Caenorhabditis elegans: one gene and its partners. The protein of the gene in region 3 interacts with the protein of the main gene of each other region in a pairwise test. Each region holds a gene or a part of one and is shown on either strand. Other genes may lie near its edges. The genes, in order: nhr-49, C05C10.5, F54D10.7 and gad-1.

Evidence for each region.
Region 1: the proteins of F54D10.7 (region 3) and nhr-49 interact in a two-hybrid assay, tested with the Caenorhabditis elegans proteins (2 studies listed by BioGRID).
Region 2: the proteins of F54D10.7 (region 3) and C05C10.5 interact in a two-hybrid assay, tested with the Caenorhabditis elegans proteins (2 studies listed by BioGRID).
Region 4: the proteins of F54D10.7 (region 3) and gad-1 interact in a two-hybrid assay, tested with the Caenorhabditis elegans proteins (2 studies listed by BioGRID).

What each region holds. Positions count from the first base shown.
Region 1 is NC_003279.8:9,867,624-9,875,710, reverse strand, and holds nhr-49 (Nuclear hormone receptor family member nhr-49), read right to left. Parts: upstream 5,994-8,087; coding exon 5,924-5,993; coding exon of another isoform or gene 5,920-5,923; intron 4,484-5,919; coding exon 4,386-4,483; intron 3,800-4,385; coding exon 3,658-3,799; intron 3,018-3,657; coding exon 2,662-3,017; intron 2,613-2,661; coding exon 2,049-2,612; intron 2,001-2,048; coding exon 1,890-2,000; intron 1,752-1,889; coding exon 1,587-1,751; downstream 1-1,586. Other genes in the region: K10C3.5 (Elongation factor-like 1), read right to left, coding at 6,781-7,116, 7,883-8,087.
Region 2 is NC_003280.10:9,936,674-9,941,660, reverse strand, and holds C05C10.5 (uncharacterized protein), read right to left. Parts: upstream 2,622-4,987; 5' UTR 2,435-2,621; coding exon 2,393-2,434; coding exon of another isoform or gene 2,389-2,392; intron 2,348-2,388; coding exon 2,244-2,347; intron 2,196-2,243; coding exon 1,854-2,195; intron 1,798-1,853; coding exon 1,647-1,797; 3' UTR 1,229-1,646; downstream 1-1,228. Other genes in the region: ufd-3 (Ubiquitin fusion degradation protein 3 homolog), read right to left, coding at 1-294, 342-448, 498-810, 856-900; C05C10.7 (uncharacterized protein), read left to right, coding at 2,726-2,775, 2,826-3,059, 3,114-3,206, 3,251-3,518; C05C10.3 (putative succinyl-CoA:3-ketoacid coenzyme A transferase, mitochondrial), read left to right, coding at 4,773-4,950.
Region 3 is NC_003280.10:3,818,596-3,823,607, reverse strand, and holds F54D10.7 (Ubiquitin-like domain-containing protein), read left to right. Parts: upstream 1-2,311; 5' UTR 2,312-2,326; coding exon 2,327-2,437; intron 2,438-2,487; coding exon 2,488-2,907; intron 2,908-3,122; coding exon 3,123-3,386; 3' UTR 3,387-3,459; downstream 3,460-5,012.
Region 4 is NC_003283.11:6,429,744-6,435,745, forward strand, and holds gad-1 (Gastrulation defective protein 1), read right to left. Parts: upstream 3,754-6,002; 5' UTR 3,745-3,753; coding exon 3,552-3,744; intron 3,505-3,551; coding exon 2,759-3,504; intron 2,711-2,758; coding exon 2,532-2,710; intron 2,488-2,531; coding exon 2,168-2,487; intron 2,121-2,167; coding exon 1,696-2,120; 3' UTR 1,577-1,695; downstream 1-1,576. Other genes in the region: alh-4 (Aldehyde dehydrogenase), read right to left, coding at 11-169; erfa-1 (Eukaryotic peptide chain release factor subunit 1), read left to right, coding at 4,417-4,526, 4,573-4,898, 4,945-5,678, 5,727-5,888.

The DNA of each region.
Region 1 (8,087 bases), on a different chromosome or scaffold from region 3:
AATACTGTCAACTTCTACAGTAATACTGCCACAAATTTTATGTATTGGTGAAAAATATTGAGACATGAATCCCGCAAATACTAGAACCTTAAATAAATATTTTCGGGCTAACTGTCCTACATTTTTACGGATTTACAATATTCTCTATAACTTGAAAAATTAATTTCTTTTGAGGTCTAGGAACAAATAAAGATTGAGTATAGAAAAAAGTGAATTGATAGACATGTAATGATGTATGCCTAGGTCTCACCACGATGGATTTTATTCCAAATTGAAGCCACAAAAATGTGTGCGCCTTTAAGTAGTACAGTAACCAACTTTCCCGAAGTTAACCTTTTCTTCAATTTTTGAAAATTTCTCTCAAGTTCTTAATAGAATTTTCTCTTAAAAATGATTGAAAACTGAAACAAGTTGTTACGGTACTTTTTAAAGGTTCACATTTGATTTTAAGAACAGATCTTAAAGAAAGATAAAATGTTGACCGTTTTGAAATCTACTACTAATTGTTAGTTACCAAATTCTTGTCTCAGAATGGAAAGAATATCAAAAAACCAAAACAAGCAACCCAAAAAAACTAAATAAAATGTCCAAAACTGGCTGAAGTGTATGTGCTCCAAGAGGTGTGAACTCACCCACCTAAGCCTAAATGCTCACAATTTCTTCATCTTCCCTCTTCCAATAGACATATCATCACTTTTACCCCGTTATGTACACTGTTCGGATCATTGAATTGATCTCAAGTGTCTTGGGAAATGGTCATATATCCACTATCATTTAGATGATCGTGTCAATTGAAATCAAAACAAAAATCATCAATTTGAAGAGTTTTAGAGAAATAAACAATTTAAAAAAATCTAATTTTGAAAAAAAAAACTAAAAAGCTCAGCTTCACCTCCAGCAGCTCACACCAGGTGCTCAAACATTTGGAAAACAATACTTTTTGTAAATTCTTCTAAATTTCTAAATTGCAATAAAACTTACGGTCTTGGTGGAGGTGGTGGAGGACGTGGCATTGAACTTCTCGAGTGAATTCATAATGATGAGTCAATTGTGTTTATTTGATACGAATAATAAAATATGGTATAATAATGTATTTTATCGATGAGCTTTGAAAAAGTATAAATAAAAGTTTCTTTTTGCAAACATAAATTGGTACGAACGCTTGAAAAGAAGGAAGGAAAATGGGAAGAAGGGAATCTTCTAAATAGAGATGGGAAATGCCAAGACAGTCACTTCTTATACATATTGAAGTACTAAACTGATAATTTGATTGACAATAATAATCACAAGAATAAACGAGAGCCAGCCCGTCTGGAAAAAAGATTAAGGAAGAAGAGTTGGGGGAGACGAGAACAATAACCTGATATGATATAGAGATGGCCTAGACAGGTTTCAAGATGAAACAACTACTGAGACGGAAGGGTATTCTTCTTTTGTTATGTACATTATAGCTGGGCTCTGGACTATTTTATAAATTGGGGGTAATGATTCAAAACAACAATAAGGGAAAAGATGAAAGATCACAGATTCGGAATAGAACTGGAGATGAGATGAGGTGAAGAGTTTTGGGAGAAAAAATGGAATTATTAGAGCATATGATTATTCTGCTCACTGTTCAAAATGGAATCTTGTGATTGGAGAGGATGAATTGCCAATGGAGCTGCAAGAGTTGCTGAGAGCATTCCAGTTGGTGTAATTCCAGAAACAGACGAAACACTTCCCACTGATCCGGCTGGATTTAACGGAGATACCTGAAAAATATGAATTTTGAAATGGAAGATCTTTTTTAAAAAGAGAATTTTACGGTTTTTCCCTGAAATCATTGGCCGTTTTCGCTATTTTTGTATTTTTTTAGAATAAAAAGTTTAATAAAATAATTAAAAACAAACCCCATTAGTCGGTAACGTTGTCGGAGATGAAAGATGTTGCTGTAAAGAGACCGGAGCCGTCGAATGATCATTGATGTCGTCGAGAATGAACTCGGAGAGCAGAGAATCCACCTGAAGCTATCATTTATGTACGGATTCAAACAAGAAAAGCTTTCATACCTCTGCCAATCCGAAGAACTTTGTAAGTGTCATATTCTCAATGAGCAGCTGAGTCAGAGCCTTGAGAGCCGGTGCCAACAACAAAATATTTCCATATCTTGTGGGTGCGTCATCTGGCATCTGATCGAGAATGAATGCATAAAGAGCTTTCAAAACACGATTTCTAGCATCACGAATCATAATCTGTGAGCTATTCGAGAGTCCTTTGGCTTCTGGGTGCAAGAATGCAAGTGCTTTCAAACATACAAATTCTTGTTCTCTCATCTGAAGTTGTCGCATTGGCCAGACAATTTCATCAAGAACTCTGGGTGTTATATTGCTTGTTTTGAATGCAGCAAATCCATTGAGGTCAGTGTTATTGTCACGTGTCATATAAGTATTGTTGAAGAGACAAACTCGAGTTGTATCGGGACTTCGAAATGCTGGCATCAAAATGAGATGTTGTGGTGCATAGTTTTTCAGTAGAATGATCTTATCTTCCATCGAAAGATCCATGAATGGATTAATTGTTTTTGCCCATTCAACCATCAATAAAAGTGTTGTCCTGGAGATTTCATTCAGATCCTGAAAATAAAACAATGTGACCTCTTAATTTACGTACCATCCAACTCACTACCTCGGTTGTGCATGGCCGGTTTGGTGGTGCAAATGCCGATGCTCCAGAATCACTTCCTTGTTGAATATCTGTGTCATTTCCATTCGACCCCCCACTGCCGTTTGCAAAGATTTGCGATCTTCGGTATCGATTACACATCTCTTGATTGACACGAGCCTCCATCTCCATTAAAGCATCAATGACACTGCTGGATTGTGGAACTGTTCGCATATTCTCTTGTCCCATACCGTTTGATCCGACACCGTTGCTGTTTCCGTTCTCGTATCCGGGGCTTCTGTCTTTTTTGAATGGAGTCCCGTTGAGACTGGCTCCAGATGTTGGTGAACCTACAGGATCACGTTCGAATTGAATAGCTGAAATATATTAAATTGTAGAATTGATCGTGGATGTGATTCAGATGATAGAACATGGACCTGAATGACAGAAAATAGTTGTTAAAATTTGTATTTTTGAATTCCCACGAAAATGAATGAAATATAATTATAGTTTACTATATTTTCGACATTTTTGCGTTTTTCGGTAATGTTTATTGTGGCTTTGTTTCAATATAATTTTTTGGTAAATTTAAAAAAAAAGAAATCATTCAAAATTTAATACAATTTTTAACAGTTATGTTCTGTCATTATGACTCTATTTCTTCTTTAAAATAACGAATTAAACATGAAAAAACATCCAAATTTTAAACGTATGTAGAATTAGATACGATATTTTGCTCCAAAATTATTTTTTCTAGATAGAAAACTACGAAACAATTTTTTTTTAGAAATATCGTGTTTTGAAATGGAATCTACGGACAGGAAAAGGAAAGAAAGAAGAATATATTCTAAATTCTGAGTTAACGGGGCAAATTTCCGAATCAATATCTCAAGTTAGAATCTTTTTTGCGGCCGATCTCATTTCACGGACGAAATTGAAAAGAGGTCACTGGTGAAAAACATGAGGCCACTGTGTTTTGGATATATTCAAATATTGAACGGAAAGAGAAATGAATACCTTCTCGTTTCATTCCAACTTGTACACACTTTTGAAAGCGACAATAACGACACGCGCATCGAAAGTTTTTGTCAATCACACATCTTTTGTTGAAACGGCAAGTGAACTTCTGATCACGAAGAACTGTTCGGCGGAAGAATCCCTGAAATTCATGAGTTTTATTAATGCGGGATAAATCATTAAAAAGTTCGAGATGATAATCATAACTTTCAAAAACCAGTTAAATTAATACGAACTTTTGCAACCATAAAGTACAGTACTCGGTCTCGTCACGAACAATATGTTTTCAAATAAAGCATGCGCGAAAAGCGTGGGTTACTGTAGGTGGAGTCAATATTACTTTGCTTTAAAGTGAGGAAATTGTTTTTTAAAAACTACTCCTGTGGTACCAAAGTTAACAAAAAAAGTTAGAAAATTTTTATTGACAGTAAAAACTGGCAATTACAGTTTTTGCCACTTTTTGAGAAAACTATAGCCCTGTCGCTTATCGAATCCCTATAGTGTTTGATTATTAATATTTGAAACATAAGTAGTCCATAAAATTATAAGGAAACAATTTTTTTGATCAACGACTTCCAAAAGTGGCAAAAACTGAGATTTTTCATTTTTCAAAAAAGGAAAAAATATAATTTCCAAAATCATTTTTCGTGACGAGAACTGAATTTATAATTTCACATAATTCTAAATATAATTTATTTTTTATTATTTTATAATTTATCCCTTCTCACCTTACACCCGTTGCAGGAAATGACTCCATAATGGGTTCCAGTTGATTTGTCACCACAAACGGCACATGGTTCCGCAAGAGGATCTACTAGGTCCATGACTGAAACAATTAAACTTTTTACAACAAAAAAAACAAATGAAACACGAAAAAAACCAAACAACAGATAGCAACGCAAGTTTTCAAAGTGAAAGAGAAACGACGAATGTCACTTGTTCATGGAAACGATGAAATAGTGTTGGAGGTAGAGAGAGTGTCAGACGAGTAGAGAAATCAGAGTCAATGCAATGGCTTTAACACATGATAGACACACAAGAAATAAGACAAAATTTAATATAAGTATTGATAAGCCTAATGTAAAATGTCCTGACGATACGGTGGATTAAAAAAAACGATTTGCCGTATCTATTGCAAATCGACTATGACGTCATAGTGTTTCAATGGTGTCTTTAGGAGTGGAACGCATGTTGTCTTAATAATAAAGGACCGGCAAGTGCACACAATTGAGATGCATTGACCACTAGGCAGATGAATGGGCCGCGTTCAGAAATTGTAGGTTTTATATTAGACCTTATTGGTGAGGATGTGGAGATAATTCAGCAGCATATAATTAGAATTTCCACTGCTAGAAGGACAAACTTGGTACTTTCAATTTATTGTTTCTGAATATAGAACAATTTTGAACGTATATTCAAAAAGACCGAAGCTCATGTAGAATGTTTTTCAATAAAGTATCCTAATCGAGTCCAATAAAAGTAGAAATTTGAACATTGAAAGGGCAAGCCGAAACTTGATAGCTCGGAAATTTCGAGCCTCCCAGTTTAGCAGATGTAGTGTAGGACTAAACGTGTTGCTATTGTAGCGAAAGTAGAGAAGATTGAGAAATCATCCGTCTTGAGCAAACAAAAGGAAACGCGAAGATCAGAAAAGGACTGATGTGGCACACTCTAAAACTGGTCGATGTGTTCGGCAAGATTCCAGTAGTCTTTCTCTCTCTCTGCTCACTCCAATGAGGTATTCTTAAATGCGGATGCTATTTCAAAGTCTTCTTGATCAATCTTGTCCGACGGATCGAATAAGATAGACGGTCGCGCTAAGTAGTGTCGTTCCTTTTCTCTCCAAGATCGTAAGATCTATATCTAAGGAGCGAGGAGATGTAATGCATCGAATAAGTGACCGACGAGGATCCAGTTGTAGGGTTTGGTAAATTCTGGTAGAAAATGAGGAGACACATCGAAGAATGACGTTCTAAGAGAAAGGGCATTTGAATTACTTTAGAACTTTTAGAAGAGCCAGGTTAATAAACTCAAAAATGTACATATTATTTGAACGTATAAAAATCCATATATACCCATATAGTGGACTTTGCAAAGAAGCCATCCAAAAATCATTCTATTAATTTCTGGATTTCAATGAGCAAGTCGCTGATTGGTTTTGTAGTTCTCAGTTTGGTGGAAAATTCAAAAAGGCATGAAAGTCGATATTTTAAAAGTTGACTTTCTTTCAATGTCGCTTGATGTGTCCGTTATAAAACTTACTTACAATCATCTGAAGATTCTTCATCAATTTGATTCAACTGAATATGTTTAGAAGCATCAAGAAAGTAGTCCATATCGTGAGAACGGAATGAGTTGACTAACAAAATGATGAGTATATACAAGGAGTTTGCGAATCACCCCATATAAACAGGAAGTGAGAGACTACATTATGTAGTTCAGTGTTGTTCGATGCCCCGTACTTTGTACTCTCAAAGCTAATTGGGACCGGCGTCGTCTCATTTAAAGTCAGTCATTAAATCTATGAACTTTTGATTGTGGAAAAAAGCTGAACTACTGGCAAACAGAAAGGAAACGAAAAAAAAAGAAAAGAAAATGGTGAAAAAGAAGAAGAAGCTAAAGCTGGCAGGCCAGTCGGTTAGAAGGACAAAAAAGAGACAGTGGTTGGTCAAACATGTCGAGAAATATGAAAAACTAGAGAGAATGGAGTTGACAGAGACACCAAACAACGACAGCCAACCACCCACAGCACGTTGACAATCGATAACAGGAGAGGCGCAGACCTTTAGAGATGAATAGATGAAAAGAGGTAGAGAAAGATTGTAAGAAAGTTCCTCTCGACCCTCTCTCCCGTACTACGCTATACCCATCAGGTCGTTGACACCACCACACGTGAATGAAACAGTGTTAACCGAGTGAAATTAAAATGTTTCAGATATGCCTTATATGATAAGTTAACATTTTTGGAGCAAATATTTTCGAAAAGTTCAAATTGATGATTTCAATTTAATTATTTCTTTGAAAAAAACGAACAAAAAAAAACAAGTAAAACAATCAACAAGATTAAAATGTGTCAAAACCGGAAATTCAAACAACAAAAAATATCACGAAACTAAAAAAAAATTATTTATTCTTTTTCAAATTCCTCTGCTTCTCCGCCGACTCCACAATCAGGTCCTCGGTTGGCAGTCCTTTACGTCTTCTAACTGCATCCATATATCCTCTTGCATGATTCGGACTGTCTCCCTTCAATCCGAATTCTTCAATTTCTTCCAATGTAGACGGCGTCCAGTAAGGATCCTCGTCAATGACTTGCCAGTGAGAAAATTGAAGTTGAGCAGAAGCCATTCCAGATGTGAACTTGCGAAGTTGATCACAGAAAGAGAACGATTCGACGACGGGCATTAGGGAGACCACTTCGAATAAATTTGTAGCTTCATTGATGTCCTCGGAGAGTACCTGAATTCAAAATTATTTTTTATTTAAAATTTAGTATTTATACAACGCCATTAAAGTAATAGTCAAAATTCGAAATTTTTGAAACAAAATGCTCATATAAATGAGATTGGATATACCGTATTTATTTGTTTAATCGGCACACTAAACCATAAAATCTATTTAGATTATAGTTGGAAAGAAGATTCATTCATTATATTCTCTCCATATATACGTTATTTGCACAGATGCGTCGAAAATTACAAAAATTAAATACTTCGTTCACATGCTCAATGGGCAAATCACATTAAATATTGACATGGATTTCAGGTTTATATTCGAAAACAAAAAAAAGGAAATTTTCGAAGCCGAAAAATTGAAAAAAAAGGAAAGTTTTGTAAATTTGAAATTATATATTGAAAAACTTAAATATTTTGGTCAAAATTTAACTTTTCATAATTTCGAGTGTCATTTTTAGAGCTATATCAGAATATTTCGGATTTTTTTTTCGGAAAAAAAATTAAAAATTAATTTTTTGTAAATTTGAAATTTTATTTTGAAAACTTGAATATTTTCATCGAAATCGCACTCTTTCTAAATTTTCTAGTGTTTTTTTTTTTTGAAAACATGTAAAATTTAAATTTATCAGTTATCAGGATTTTCGGTTTTTAAAATAGAATCGTTTTTTTTCTTCAAAAAAGCGAAAAATCTACTGCCCTGATGGATATAAATATTTAAATTTATAATCTCTAACTATATTTGAAAATGTTCTACAATTCTCCATTCCTACTTTCGATTTTCTTTGTGACAAAACGGCATGAACTTTTCCCAATGCCTGACTGGCTGTAGTTACAGTACACCGGTACATGGCAGCGACAAGGCGGAGTGCAAGTTTTTTAGCAGCAGCAGAGCATGAAGCTTTTATTGCAGTCATCATTTGTCCTCCAATAGCTCCATCTTCTTCATCAACATTCCATTCTTCAACAATAACTGCT
Region 2 (4,987 bases), 6.1 Mb from region 3:
ACTATAAATGAATTCATGTGCCTGAGTTGCAAATTTTCTGAGAATCGACGCTGATGCAACATCCCAATGAATGATATGTCCATCGTTTCCAGCAGATAAAAAGTGAGAGCTTGATAATACGACGAGAGCTCGCACGACATCAGTATGGCCTTTGAAAACTGAGAGAGTGGTATCTCCAAACCACATACGAATTGTTTTATCAGCACTGGCAGATAGATAAGTGTTGGGAAGATCCGGGAAAGAAGCGAGAGCCCACACAGACAAGGTATGGCCTGGACAAACAATAGTCTGGAACTAATTTAACTTTAAAATCCAGTAAAAAACGATTAAAAATATATTACAGTGAATGACGACGAGTTCAACTCGGTAATCGGCCAGATGATGACGTTGGAATCCCACGAACCACTCAGCATGTGAGTCGCTTTTTCGTTAATGTGAAGACAGCAAACTGAAATTATTCATTTTGCACTTTTGAATATTTTTTAAAGCAAAAATACCATTCTGTTTATGCTCATTGAAAATTGCATATGGTTCCGCCTGACTCGGGCCAAAAACTGCAATTGTTCCATCTCTTCGGCCAACAAAAAGTCTCCATCCGTCCGCTAGTTCAGCGTATGCAATGGAGTTCACAGTTATTCCTTTCGGTTGTTCAAAGGCGTGCGTTTTCGTATACTGTTTTCCTTTTTTTGCCCAAAATTTAACCGTCTCATCACGACCACCCGATATCAAGCATCCGCCTTGAGTAACTGCCAAAGCCTTTGTGTCGGATTTGTGGGCTTCAATAACATGGGAAATTGTGTACTGTGGCATCTGCAAAATAAATTCCACTTCAATTCGGCAAATTCTAAAACTCACACTTTCCGTTTCCATTGGCACGTCACCGAGACCGTCATCTGCCATTATCTGAAGAATAGCTTTTAATTAAAGTTAATCAACAAAAAAATATAACGAAATTGAGAAAAATCCGAAAAAGTTTTGATGACAAACTGCAAACGATGCTCCGAACTAACGCCACATGGAAGAGGATTTCTACGACCCCGCAGTAGGCAAATTTGCGGGAATTCAAAATTTAACACTGATAGGATGCAATTTTTTGGAGAAGGGCATTCAGATTCGCTTAAATAAATATTTGAAGTTTCACAGAACATCAAGACTTTGCAAAGAGTGTTAAAAATTCAATAATTAAAAATAAATAATACTTTTATCGGCAAACTTTTTTTAATTTAGTAGGTTTTTTGAGAGCGAAATTTACATCGCACTAGATAGTCTCGAAACAGGAGTGATACCTTTTTAATTCTTCAAAAAAAAAACAAGAAAGGAACCGAGTTTGATAGACAATTGATTTATTTTTGTCCTACGCAAGTATAAATGGGGAAACGGTGTTGGTTCATTATAAAACAACATAAAAACGCTAAAACAGCGATACCAATAGACTACAAACATTAAACGAAAGTTATTATTGCACACAACTAATCAATGAGTGGGGTGGATTCAAGAAGATTGATTATATTAAGGAATTATAGGTATATCACAATTATGACTCATGGCAACAATAAGGTTTAGTAAATTTTTTAAAGATAAAAATGCGATCTCAACTGGAAAAATGTGGATAAAACGTTGAGGGGCAGCAATTTCAGTCCTGGGAATCATGTAGACAGATTGCCGACCTGTCTGAAGATTGATTTACCGCTATCCGGAAGTCGTCCCATTCGCTGCAGAATGATGTACTCGTCGGCTGCTGGAAGTGTATCCTCCGTTGGCATTTCGTCGAATGGCCCAAGATACCGGGTTTGCGATCTGAAAATTTTAATATTTAAATTGAGCCTAAAAACAGCTAGAAAATCCAAACTCACTTGGCAAAGAACTCTCCAGGTGTCAGAAGACCACGGAAGAAGCGATTGAAGTCCTTTGGAATCGCACGAACTCCTGGCAATTGTGTCGGGGAGAGTGCTCGACGACGTGGCTGCCCATTGTCGATATTTCCTGCACGCATATTCTCTTGATTTATGCGATTTGCAGCGTCTTGTGCTGGTCTTCTGGCGTCATTGGCGTTCAATTGCCGCAATGGACGCCGCTCTGGAAGTCGAATCGGAGCCACACGGTTGACACGTGGCGGCGGTGTCCGTCTGATCGCTCTTCTGACGTCTGGTGATGGTTCACGTGGTGGCGGGCTTTGCGATCTTCTGCGGTCAAGCCTGAATAATCTTATTATAGAAACAATTATATAACATTTTGGGACAAACAATTCTCTCCATCCCTTTTCGCTGAGCTCCGAGGCTCTGGTCCATCCACTGGGGAAGATTTGGAATGGATCTGCAGGCGGGGGACACAGAATATCAGCTTCTACCTGAAAATATAAATATTGTAAACGAATTTTAATTCAAGAACTCACAGCACGCAACTGGTCCCAGCGATTTCCATGAAAATGCTCCATAATTAGTGTGTGAAATAGGTGAGAGGGAGAAAAAATGGGTCTGTGGAATGAATGACAAGCGAAAATTTAAATGAAAAAATCAGAATTTTCCCGCGCATAATTTTAATTTTCGACTGATACACTTTCATCGGTAAAATAGAGGCAGATCAATAAAATAAGTAGGTCGAAAATAATTGTTTTTGTTTTTTTTTAAACGCGCGCGCACAAATAGTTCAAACACGATGACGCAAAAATACACAGTTTCGCAGTTTTTTTAAATTTCTTTTGTTTTACAACACTCTTTTCTGAAAAATGTCAGATTTTGACGATTCTGATTCAGAATTTCAAGGATTTGAGCTAAGGTTTGTTTTATTTTAATAACTAATAATAATTCTAATATTAACTTTTACAGATCACCTCAGATCCATGTAAAAGAATTCTTGATAGTCGAAGAAGAAACTCCAAAAATCATCAAAAAGGAAGAGGTTCCAAGGAAGTTCGAATCCGAGTTTGTTGGCTCATTTCTGGGAGAAAGTCCAGTTGTACTTTCAAAAGAAACAGCGTTTGGAGAAGCTGGAGAGTCGGAAGTTCTGGATTGGGATGCCAGTACAGTTTTCAACAGCCTAGCTTGCCCTGAAAACAACCTGTGCGTTTTTTAAAAGTATACATTTTATAAAGAATTAAATTTGCCTTTTTCCAGAGAAAAGTCAGTATGCGTCATTCGTCTCCACGACGTCCTCACAAAATCCGAAATGGGAGTACACAAAATGAAGCGACAACTTATTCATTGCGGGTCGGTCTTGGAAATCAAACTTTTCATCAATTGTCAATTTTAAGACAGCTCCTTGATGAATATTCTCCTCAACAACGTCGTGATTTGGGCTTTGATGATTCTCAAAATGTGAAGAATCTTCTTCAAATGATCCGAGCGTTCCGGTCAACTGTTAAAATCATGCTGATCGACGTGGAGGATCTTCAGGACCAGATTACACAAGAAGCGCAAGATGAGACCCCAATTATATCCAAATTTTCGAAACTTTTATACGTTTCCGGTGCATTAGCCGTCATTCCTATTTGTTGGTTTATGTACCGCAGATTTTGTTAAGTTATCTTTTAAATCTTGAATAAAAATTTAAAAAAAACATATGTTTTATTAAAATTGCTCTTATTCGTAACTATGTACGGATTTATATATATTTTTTTAATTGTACAATTCGCTAAAATGACAGTAAACTACATTTGAAAATTTTATTTAAAAAGAAGCTAACGTCAGTAGCACACTTGTGTCCTGGCCACCTGTCTCTGTTGCCCTCCCATCCTTATCACAGATCACACTTCAAACATCAAACTTCTCAAGGCAGAACTCCTCCCAAATATCACCCGAATTTTTCTTCTCAAAACTTTTCGCCAGTCTCACAACCACGTGTTTCCCAGACCTTCAGTTAACTTCACTTCTCATTTTCCCTGATTTTCTGTCTGCGTCTCTATAAAAAGTAGACAAAAAATGCGAAAAAGAAACGTTTTTGTGTACTCAAGTTGTGACACACTCGCTCAGACTATTGGCTACTGATGGTTTTTAGTTTTTTTTTTGCTTTAGACAATTCTACCTCTAAAAATTAAGATTTTATAACAGTTTTCTAAATTTTTATTAGTTCAGTGAATTTATCATGATTTTTCTAGAGCCCCATCGGAATTAACATTGAAAATTTTACCCAGACGCGTTATTTTTGCAACTTTTGTACTAAAAATACAGAACCCGGTCTCGACACTGCAAAGTTTGTTAATTGAAAAAATATGTGTACCTTTAAAGAGTACTGTAGTTTTAAAATTTCGTTGCAGCAAAATTTTTATATTTTTTCTCGCATTAAACTTTAACTGTTTTTATTGTTTTGTTTTAGTTTTCTTGATAATATTTTGAAATACTTGAGATAATTGAAAAACTGTGAAAAAATCTATGAAAATCATACAGAAACGATAGTTTGAAATTACCGTACATTTTAAAAGCGCACTCCTCTTCGCGTTATTACGGGAACAATAAATCATGAGAATGCGTACTTGGTACCGTAATAAATAAAAAATTGTCGTGTCGATACCGGGTTTTATTATTTTCAGTAAATGAGACGTTCCCATCACTAAAACGTTTTATTTGTACGTTTCCGCTACTTTATTGTAAATAATATTGATAAGAAATCAAATACGCAACACGGAAATTGTTATCGAGTATCAACACACAATTATAATCTTTTCTACTTAATACCGATTCCTTGTTCCACAAATTTGACTTTCTGGTTTTTCCATCTTATAATCCTAAATATATTGTTTCTTTTTCCAAAATTAAAAAAATTTTCATTCAGATAAAATGCCGATTCTCTCAAAAATATGGGCGGCTCCAGCAGCTGGAATCTTGAGAAAAACTCCGAGAAATGCTCATCAAATGAGGCTAATCTCAATGACATCCTCGATGAAAGCAAAAGTCTTTAACTCTGCCGAAGAAGCCGTGAAGGATATTCCAGATAATGCAAAGCTTTTAGTTGGCGGTAAGATTTGGAATTTTTTTATGTTACCAAAATTTTG
Region 3 (5,012 bases):
ATCTGGAAAACAAATATTCAACTAACAAAATGATCAGAAATATTTTTTCTTTTTATTAAATTAATTGTTATTTTAATAAACCCACTATTTGTAGAGCCACACAGAGTCAAAGCCATTTTCCAAAATTCACAAAAAATTTTGAGAACTCTTTTGTTGTACCCGTCATAACCCAACATTCATTGAATTTCAGAAGAAAACTTTTAATTAGTTGTATGTGAAAAATATTTTTCCACATTTTATCAGTTTCAAGTTTTTTGATATTTTCATGTTCCGTCAAGTTATAGACCGTTTTCTGAAAAAAATCAAGTTTTGCTCATAAAACTCTTCATATCCAACGTATCGACTTGAAATTTTAAAAAATGCTCACTTTTTTGAGGTCTCTACAATGTCCTAAAAAATCTTTCAAAAAAGCCTGTCCATCTCCAAAATCGTCCTCCGCTCCAAAATAAGAAATGGGACTTTTGCTTTTCGAAAAATAGGCGAAAAAATTAAATTGCGATTTTTGGGTCGAAAAAAATATTTTTAGAAAGCTGAGAACACGCTATTTACGAATTTCATGTTCATTTTAGGTGGTTCCTTTTCTGAAATGACCTAAAAATTTAACAAAAAGAACATAATTTTAATTCTCACGTCAATTTTTTATTCGCAAGAAAACAATTGAAGCACTGAGCAACATGCCAAAAAATTTTACGTGAGAATTAAAATTATGTTCTTTTTGTTTAATTTTTAGGTCATTTCAGAGAAGGAATCAATTAAAATGAACACGAAATTCGTAAATAGCGTGTTCTCAGCTTTCTAAAAATATTTTTTTCGACCCAAAAATCGCAATTTGATTTTTTCGCCCATTTCTCGAGAAGCAAAAGTCCGATTTCATTTTTCGGAGCGAAGGACGATTTTGGAGATGGGCAGGATTTTTTGAAAGATTTTTTAGGACATTGTAGAGACCTCAAAAAAGTGATCATTTTTCAAAATTTCAAGTTTTTACGTTGGATATGAAGAGTTTTATGAGCGAAATTGGATTTTTTCGAAAAACGGTCTGTAACTTGGCGGAACATGAAAATATCAAAAATCTTAAAACTAATAAAACGTGGAGAAATATTTTTTACTTTTTATCCAACAAAATTTATCTTTTCAAATTTGATGGGCGTAGGGTTATGACGGGTACAGCAAAGGAGTTCTCAAAATTTTTTGTGATTTTTGGTAAAATGGCTTTGATGTCTCTACTTAACTCTACAAAAAGTTGGTGTATTGAGATAAAAATTAATGAATTAAAAAGAAAAAATATTTCTGATCATTTTGTTAGTTAAACATTTGTTTTCCAGATGTGTATTTTTCGAGATACGTCAGTTTGAAGATGCACAAAAAAAATCAATTTTAAAACAAATTAAAATCATCATTATTGGCAGCAGAGAGTCTCTGCTGCCAATAATGATGATTTTGGGGTGTGCGGCAAATTTGCCGAATTTGCCGAATTTGCCGAGCACGGCAAATTTCAAAAAAGTAGATTTGCCGAATTTGCCGAGCTCGGCAAATTTCGAAATTTGCCGCATACGTCAAAAATTTGACAGTACAATGTTGACTAAAACTGTTGATTTTTTCGCCAAAAATTTAGTAAAATGACAACAAATTGAGTTATTTTGATGTTTAAGCAGACACACTACACCTAACTTGTTCAGAAACCAGAGGTGTGTTAAGAATTCAGTAGTTTTGGTGCTCCAAAAAATATCAAAAAATATATAATTTTTCCGAGTTTGTTAAGCACGGCAAATTTGCCGAATTTGCCGAATTTGCCGTGCTCGGCAAATATTGGAAAAATAGATTTGCCGAATTTGCCGAGCTCGGCAAATTTTGAGATTTGCCGCACACCCCTGGCAGAGACGGTAGACGGCAAAGAAAGAAATGCTATCTGAGTTTGCCATCTTTAGAGTATGACCGGGACTTTGCAAAATGGTCTGGGCCGGAAAGGAAATGAAAACTCGAAATTTTTATTTAGTAACTGATCGTTGAAAGATCACGTACATATTAGATGACAAGTTGCTCCGCTCATATATTGAGTTTCTGCATTTTTCATCTGTAAGGCGCAGGACAACTACATTTTTTGTGGTTCTTTGTTTTAATAATCTTCAAAAATGCCAAAAAAAAATTGATCTCCCCGCCGCGCACCAATAAAGTGGGTCACTTGCCACGAGGCGATTTCCGATCCCCTTTTACAATCGGTATGCAGGGGAGAGGCTCATTCTCTCATTGATTTGTTTTTTTGTGTGTCCTTTTCCCGTTTTTCTTGTTATTTTAAAATTTAATTAAATTCCAGAAAATAACCTCTGCAATGCCCCCAACTGTTGGAAAATCTACCAATAAAGATGGACCGTCGGATTTGATGTCGGCGTTTGAAAATTTGCGATCTGAAACTGCTGGAATCAATAATTTCCTTGAGAAAGTTTGAATTTGAATTGTATCGGCCTTATTAATATTTATTCCAAATTCCAGGGTCCCACCATCGGTTCGATCACGTCCTTGAGCATTTCCAAATTTGACAAGTTTTGTGAAAATCAGGATAAAGTCAACCAGAAACTGATGCTAGCGATTCAGAAAATGTCCATCGAACGTTCGAAGCGTCAGAAGATCCAAGACGCTTTCAACAAAGAAATGCTCGACGCAATCAGATCTATGAAGAAGGCGTTTGCTCGGGAGAAGGAGGAGTTCAGCGATGATTTGGAGATTTTCAAGGAGGAGCTGTTTGAGAAGCTTGATGAGGATAATGAGACCTCTGAAGACGAAGATGAGGAGGAGGAGAATGATGTTTTGGATGCGATCAAGTTGCTCCAAACTGGACTCGATGCTATGAAAGAGGCACAGAGGGAATTTTTCAAGAAAGTGACTGAGGATACTCAAGCCATCCGGAGAAAGGTAATTTTATGAGATGATTGTGTTCCTTACTTGAGGCTTAGGCTTAATCTTAGGCATAGGCTTAATCTCATGTTCGGCAAACGGCAAATCGGAAACTTGCCAGAAACGGCAAATCGGCCAACCGGCAATTAACCGATTCGCCGAATTTGCCGACAAAAAAATTTGTCAATTGCCGCCCACCCCTGGCCCGTAAATTTAGCAAAAAAATTATTCAGATTGGCTCGAAAAACATAAAGTTCAATGTTATCCTTCACGGAAGCCGAATCCCGATGGAACTGGACTCCCTTGACACAATCTACACGGTCGGAATGGCCCTCCTGAAGCACGGTGGCCTCGCACTGCATCGCCAACGTCTCATGCTCAATGACAAGGAGCTTCAGTATAATCAAACTCTTGAGGAAGCTGGAATTAAGGACGGTTCTGTCATCAAGCAACATACTGATGAAAAGTGTGATGAAGATTGTGAATGTTGTTGTTAATTTATTGAACTTTATTGTTGAATGTGGATATTATTATTATTTGATTAAAAGAAAGATAAATGTTTTATTCAAAAAAACGTGAATCAATTAATTTTTCTGCTACCAATTAAATTCATTTCTCCAAATCTCGGCGACCATGTCGAATTTCCGCTCGGACAATTTGATGTCTGAATTCCAAAAACTTCGCATGGAGACTGCAGATATTGGTTTGGCTCTTGGAAAGGTAACACTTATTTTGTTAGCACCTAATAAATTCTACTTTTCCAGAAGCCAGAAAACTCGGGCATTGTATCCGATTCGCAGCTTGAGAAAGTCATTGAAGAGCAGACAAAACTCAACAAGGAAATCATGGAAGCCGTTCGAAAACTGGAAGTCGAGCGAAAGGAACATCAGGCAAATCAAGAAAAATTCAATAAAGCAATGATGGAGGCTTTTCAAAAACATCGTGATGAAATGAAGGAGAGCATCCATTAAGAACGAAATTTCTCGAAAACCAGAGGCTGCTGTACATGAAAATTTGCCGACGAACGACGCGAAAATCCTCTTCCAACTGACACGTGACGGCAAGCGCGAATGGAGTGAAGCTTTGAAACAGTTCCTATTTGAAACCGAACTCGCAATCAAGAAAGATACCCAGTTGTTTCCAGGGGCGCCGATAGACAGAGAAGAAATCCGTTTCAATGGTGAATGTTTTTTCAACACATTTTCACGTTGTGTGTATCGCGTTTCTGCTGAATTTTAGGGATTTTAAAGCAATTTTCAACAAGCGGGACCGCCCAGAGACTGTTCGCGATGCGATTTACTTAATTTTAACATAAATTTTTCCCCAAATAAGCTCGAAATGAGCTCTGAATTTCGGCGAATCTGAAATTTTTTTTTGACCAAAAACAGAATTTTGCAAATAAAAATTGATTTTAGAGCAATTTATTGCATAAATGTTTAATTTTAGAATTTTTATTATTAGTTTGAATCTTTTTAAAAAGTTTTAGTCATTAATTTGACTGATAACACCGAAAAATGATTTTTCTTTACAACGAAATCGATAAAAAAGTAAAGCAACATTTATCAAGGGAAATCTTGCAAAATTTGTTTAAAAACTTTTATGAAATCAAAGATTTCAATAGAATAAAGCTATAAATCAAGCAAAATCACTAAAAATACAAATAGTTCTGATCAAATTTCAATGTTCCAATCTACCAAGTGATCTGTGATACGCCAAGTTTCTTATGTAAGTGTTGCTTTCCAATTTTCCTTAAAAATGGCTCAAATACTTACACAAATGATCAAATTAACATTTTTTACAAGTTTCGTGTTATATTTTCTTTTCCTTAATAAGGAACCATCAGATTCTTCCTACCCTCTACGGCTCTAGATACCTTAACTTCGACAACTCCTATCTTTTCGGAGAGGCGAGATATGAAAAAGTGATCAACTGAAAACTTGTAGAGCACATCAAAAACTATGATATTCAATTTAAACTACGTTTTTATCTTTCAAGATGGGGGAGTTAGACTTACATTTGTATTGCATACTTTTTGTTATTCTACTGGCTGCTCTAACTCCCTCATCTTGAAAGATAAACACATGATTTTAATTAATTATTATAGTTTTTAATATGTTCTACAA
Region 4 (6,002 bases), on a different chromosome or scaffold from region 3:
TCTAACTTACTCTTCTCAAATCCTTCCAAACAGCTTCTGACAAAGCCTCGCGGTTCTCCTCGATAAACTTTTTAAGTTTCAGAAGTTGTTGTTTTCTGAATTTGACTGGTTTTGTCTCTCCTGTACGGAAGTACTTGCGTTGGGTTTCCACTAGTTCGGTGAATGCCATTTCTGAAAAATCAGCAATGAAATTGAAGGAAAATTAAATTTATAGCGAGCGTTTTCAGAATGGTCAACGTGACCTTCAAGGGTCAGCCTGGGGTTATATACTGCCTAGTTATCATTATCAAACGCAGTTGCCTAAATAAATTTTCTGGTAGATGATGTATGTTTCATGAAGGACAGAGAAGGCGGAGGGGGGCAAGTCAACGAAAAAAAAACGATATTCGGAGACGAGAAGGAAGCGGTCAGAATAATGATGATCACATGACGACAGTCGCGCAAACAAGTAACCAATCATATAGAGAAATGCCAAAATATTTTAATCGCCGTTAGCAAAATATTTCGTGAAATTGAAGTCTAGAAAACTGATGAAATCTAAGTTTCAGTTATCAACTGCCGAAATTTGGAATGATGATTTGTTGGAAACGTTTTTGTCTATAACAATTTAGATGTATACAACTCATTGAAACATTAAAATACGTTCAGTATAAGAATTTACGCAAATCTAAAAACAATAGACATTTTACAAAGTTAGTTAGGTTTGAATGATGTCACTATTTCTATTTAATTGGGAGGGTGGAGATTGTTTTCGGGTATAGTGTGAGATCTAGGCGCAGTTCAATTCAGTGATCAACTTGTGGTCAAGTATGTAGATGAAACTTCATACGACTTGACTCATTTTATAGATTGATCTCAAGTCTAATCTCGAAAAAATGTTAGATTTATGTTTTCAACCGTAACCTATCATTATTTTAACAGACAGAAAGTTCGACCAAAAAGAAGATAATTATCGATATAACCGTCGAGAACTTGGATGTTTCTCGGGAGGGAAAGGGAAACTTCAAGGACGAAATTTCACGGCGTTGTTTTGTTTGCTACTAGCTACAATTTCTCGGCACTGAAACAGGAAGAAAATGTGAAAAGGAAATTGTAGAGTAAACAGTTGTGGAACTGTAATTTCGGATTGCATGTTTGTTCTACACACTTCAGCAAAAAGTGACCCTTTGAATAGGCTGCACATGGTATCAGTTGTGGGAAAATGTATGATAAGAAAGAAATGGAATGGAGGCCATGTCAATAATTTCTTCTTTAAATATAGTTTTCTCAATTTTTGGAATTAAATCCATAATAGAAACGTTTTTAAAAATACAGTTTCAGGTTTTTGGATTAGGAGATCAAAAGCGAAACATCCGAACCGGGTTCAATTTTAAAAGTGAACCTGATCCCGATTGGATACAATTCTTGCGGCAAAAGTGTAGCCATCGTCCACCGGACACTGACACAAACGACCACATATTGTTGAAATGGGGGGGAGTTGGAAGAATGGGAAAGATAGAAGTGAGCAGCATGCTAGAGTGTAGCTAGCGTTAGATATTTGGACAAGACAATGACTATGGCGAACACACAATTTCTCCAACATCATGTGATCATTGACTCTATATTTATTGGGACACAAAAAATAGAGAAAAAAATAGGAAAACAATATTACAAGAGGGAGACAGACAGATGAAAAACAAAAAATTAATGCAACGACTACTTCGTTCTCGGCATTTTGAAGACAGGCTGTAGCTCTTCGTCATCTTGATCTTCTGGCTCGACTGCAGTTTCTTGGAAAATCTTCTTTGGCTGTGTCTTTCGATACGCTTTATCAATGTACAATGGATTCTCTTCGGCGTCTTTAGCATGTTTCAGGATGCTTGCACGAACATCGGTATCTTTTAGGAACTCGGCATTACGAGCAGTTCCGATTTGCTTTGCCAAATACGAATGAAGACTTCCACCACTTGCAGCCACACGTCCATTTGCGCTCTTTCCGTTGATAGGCATATCTGCAGGCTTCCGGAACTCGGGACGAAGCTTGTTATCCTGCATTCGGAGATACTTCTTGATTCTCCATCCAGTGACTTCCTTTTCTTCTCCTTCCTCTCCGCGCGGTTGGAACATTTCGAGGGAAAGAGCTGAAATATGAAGATAAATATTTTTCGAAAAAAATTGTTTAACTTACGAGAAAGAACCATATCTTCTCGAACAACTTCAGATGCGCGATTTCTTTTGAGTGGCTTCGTCACACATGACATAACTCCTCGCTGTGACATCGTTTGATCGTAGTACACGTGAATGGTGCCATCCGAGAGTCCAGCGATAATTTGATTCAATCGCGGGTGCCACTGAATTCGGTGGCACGAAATTCCAGGGTAATCAATTTTATAGACAAGATCAAATGTCATTGGATCAAAGAATTGTAATGTTCCAGGTGTATCCTTGTTGGGTGACGATGTACCAGTGAAGACAACCTCGGCACGAGGGGAGAATCCGCAATCAGTACTACAAAAAATATACTTATGGTGAAGTTTTTAATAGAAGGATACCTTTTGAAAGCGTTTTCGAGACCGGTTTTCACAAGAAGCGGCTCTTTTGGGTTATCTAAGCTCCACATCTTCAGAGTGTCATCAAAACCTCTAGACAGTAATCTCTTTGAATCGGGCGAAAAAGCAATAGAAGTAATCGAGCCGTTGTGAGCTTTGCGTACAAGGTAATTTACATTGACCTAAAATTAAAATATGAGAATAAACAGTGTTTTTGAACTTCAACTTACATATTGCGATCCATACTTCCATGCTTGAACAGATCCGTCATCACAACCGGCGGCAATCCATTTTCCGTCAGGAGAAAACGTGCAAACTTGCGGGCTGACACGTTTTCCATTAGCTCCTTTTGTTTTGATGACTTTCCTGTGCTTGTTGATGCATTTGGTGATTACTTTATGATCATCGAGGTTCCATAGTCGTAGACTTCCATCATCAGAACAAGAGATAAACTCGTTCTTGTTTAGTGGATTGAATTCGACACAGTTAACTGTTGCTGTGTGTCCTTTAGTGATGTTTAAATCAATAATATACTGATCTCCACGAACTGTTTCAGACCATTGTTTTCCTGCTCGATCCAGTAGGCGAATGATAGCTTCTCCACTAGCTACTACAAGAGTTTCGCCGTTCGGAGAGAATGCCAGGGAATTGATAACGTGACTTTCTGCAGGCAGAAGCTCTTTGTCGTATCTCATTGACATGTCCATTTTTTGAAAATCGAACAGCTTCACGTAATAGTCAAGCCCTCCACTGGCAAACCGAACACCAGGAGGCTCAACCCGAAGTGCACTGATGGCTTGAGTGCCATGGCTGATCTTCGCTTCACATGCAGCTGGAATCAGTTTGATGATGGAGATTGCTTCTGTCTCGTCAAAATCGCTATCATCACTATCTTCGGGACCTTCAGCTCGAGACGAGGAGGGGCCCGCTTCAGACTGTTGCATTTGGAATCCTGGAGGTAGATCTGGCATGAAATCTGGAAAAAACAAATTTGAAATAATTAAAACATTATATTCGGCTTACCATCTTCATCATCAGATACAGCTGAAGAAGAAACACCAGATTCTGATTTAGAAGACACCGATACCGACTGCGGAACGTGAGTTGGTTCCTCAGTTCTGGGAGCATTGCTTATCGTTTGCGCGAACATTGCTTGGAGGTCAAAGACGCGTGCCTTCTTTTCAGAATTCTTTTTTGGAGCCGTATTATCATCCATTGTGGTGATCTGAAAGAATTATTGAAATTCGTTTTCATCTATTAGGCGGTAACGGGAAAAAAAGAGTTAATAACGAAAAGAAACGTGTAATACAACCAATATAATGAACTGCCGTGGTACATATATAATATTTTGGCGAAAAAAACTAATAAATTCTGGAAACAGTCCTGGAGTTCTGATGAAAGCTGAAAAATGTTTTCGAATTTCGAACATTGAGGACGTGGCTGACTTGTTTCGGAGACTAGGCCGCGGAGAAAGTGTGGACAATCGGACATTACTTCGCGCCGAGACCCTTCCACAAACCGTATTCGTGTTCCTTGGCACCATTTAAATTCTTTTCCCATTTTCAGTTTTTAAAGTTTTTACGCGTCATCAATTATCGATTTTTGCAGTTTAAATTGTTCAGAAATGTTTTATTCATCATTTTGTCATTGCTCAGAGAAAACGAAATACATTTTCTTCTAAAAAAATCAAATTGAAACCATTGCAACATGTTGCACAATATTCTAATTTTCCATCACAACTCTGTGCAATGTAGAATAACCAGTTCTCTATAAATATCTTTTTTTTCGCATTTTTGAGTTTCTTCCCCGAATTAATTACTTTAACTCTCTTTTCGTGTTTTATATAATACAATTACAGGTAATCGGTGACGTGCAGCACAAATAGAATATGAGCGCTCCCGCAGCAGGTGCTACCGCCGGAGGCGATGACGCCGCCGATAGAAATGTCGAAATGTGGAAAATTAAACGGCTCATCAAAAGTTTGGAATTAGCCAGAGGGTAACTATTTTCGTGAAGCGTTTATTTTACATTTGTTTTTTTACAGAAATGGAACTTCTATGATTTCGCTGATCATTCCACCAAAAGATCAAGTGGCTAGAATCCAGAGAATGTTGGCCGAAGAGTACGGAACGGCATCTAACATCAAGTCTCGTGTCAACAGACTTTCCGTTTTGGGAGCTATCACATCAGTACAGGGAAGATTGAAACTCTACAACAAAGTCCCACCAAATGGATTGGTCGTTTACTGTGGAACAATCATGACCGACGAAGGAAAGGAAAAGAAAGTTAACATTGATTTTGAGCCATTCAAAGCAATCAATACTTCATTGTATCTCTGCGACAACAAATTTCACACCGAAGCTCTTCAAGGTATTTCTAATTTTCATCATGCATCATAAAATATACCATTTTTCAGGTCTTCTTGCTGACGATAACAAGTTCGGATTTATCATTATGGATGGAAACGGTTGTCTGTTCGGAACACTCCAAGGAAACACTCGTGAAGTTCTGCACAAGTTCACTGTCGATCTTCCAAAGAAGCACGGTAGAGGAGGTCAATCTGCTGTCCGTTTTGCTCGTCTCCGTAATGAGAAGCGGCACAATTACGTCCGTAAAGTAGCTGAAAATTCGGTGGAACAATTTATCAAGAACGACAAGGTTACAGTTGCTGGACTTATTCTTGCTGGTAGTGCAGATTTCAAGACAGAGTTGGGACAATCTGATATGTTTGATCAAAGACTTCAAGCCAAGATGATCAAGACTGTCGATATTGCTTATGGTGGTGAAAATGGTTTCAACCAAGCTATTGAACTTGCTGCCGATACGCTGGCAAGTGTTAAGTTCATTCAGGAAAAGAAACTGATTGGTGGATATTTCGATGAAATCAGCCAAGACACTGGAAAATACGTTTTCGGAGTTAAAGACACTCTTGCCGCACTTGAAATGGGAGCTATTGAAACTCTCATCTGCTGGGAGAATTTGGATATTGTTCGGTACAAGATGAAAAATTCACTCGGAGAGGACATTCTTCTGAATCTGAGACCTGACGAGGAGAAGGACAAATCTCATTTCACCGACAGTGAAACTGGACAAGATATGGAAATTATTGAGACTATGCCACTTTTGGAATGGTTTGCTAATAACTACAAGGTGGGCGCTCGCTTTATCGAAATTTAATTTTTTATTAATGTTTTGTAGAACTTCGGAGCAGCTTTGGAAATCGTCACAGATAAGTCGCAAGAAGGAGCCCAGTTTGTTCGAGGATTCGGAGGTATCGGAGGATTGCTCCGTTATCGCGTTGACTTGGCTCATGTAGACCTTGAAGACGAGCTCGACAACATTGACCTTGATGACTATTGATCACGGGCGGCAGTAGTGAGCCATTGGGCGCCATACTCGTTTCTTTTGTTATTTAAGCTTGTATCCTCTTTTTTCTTTATCAATCTCTTCATAAATTATCCAGCATTGTCAAAT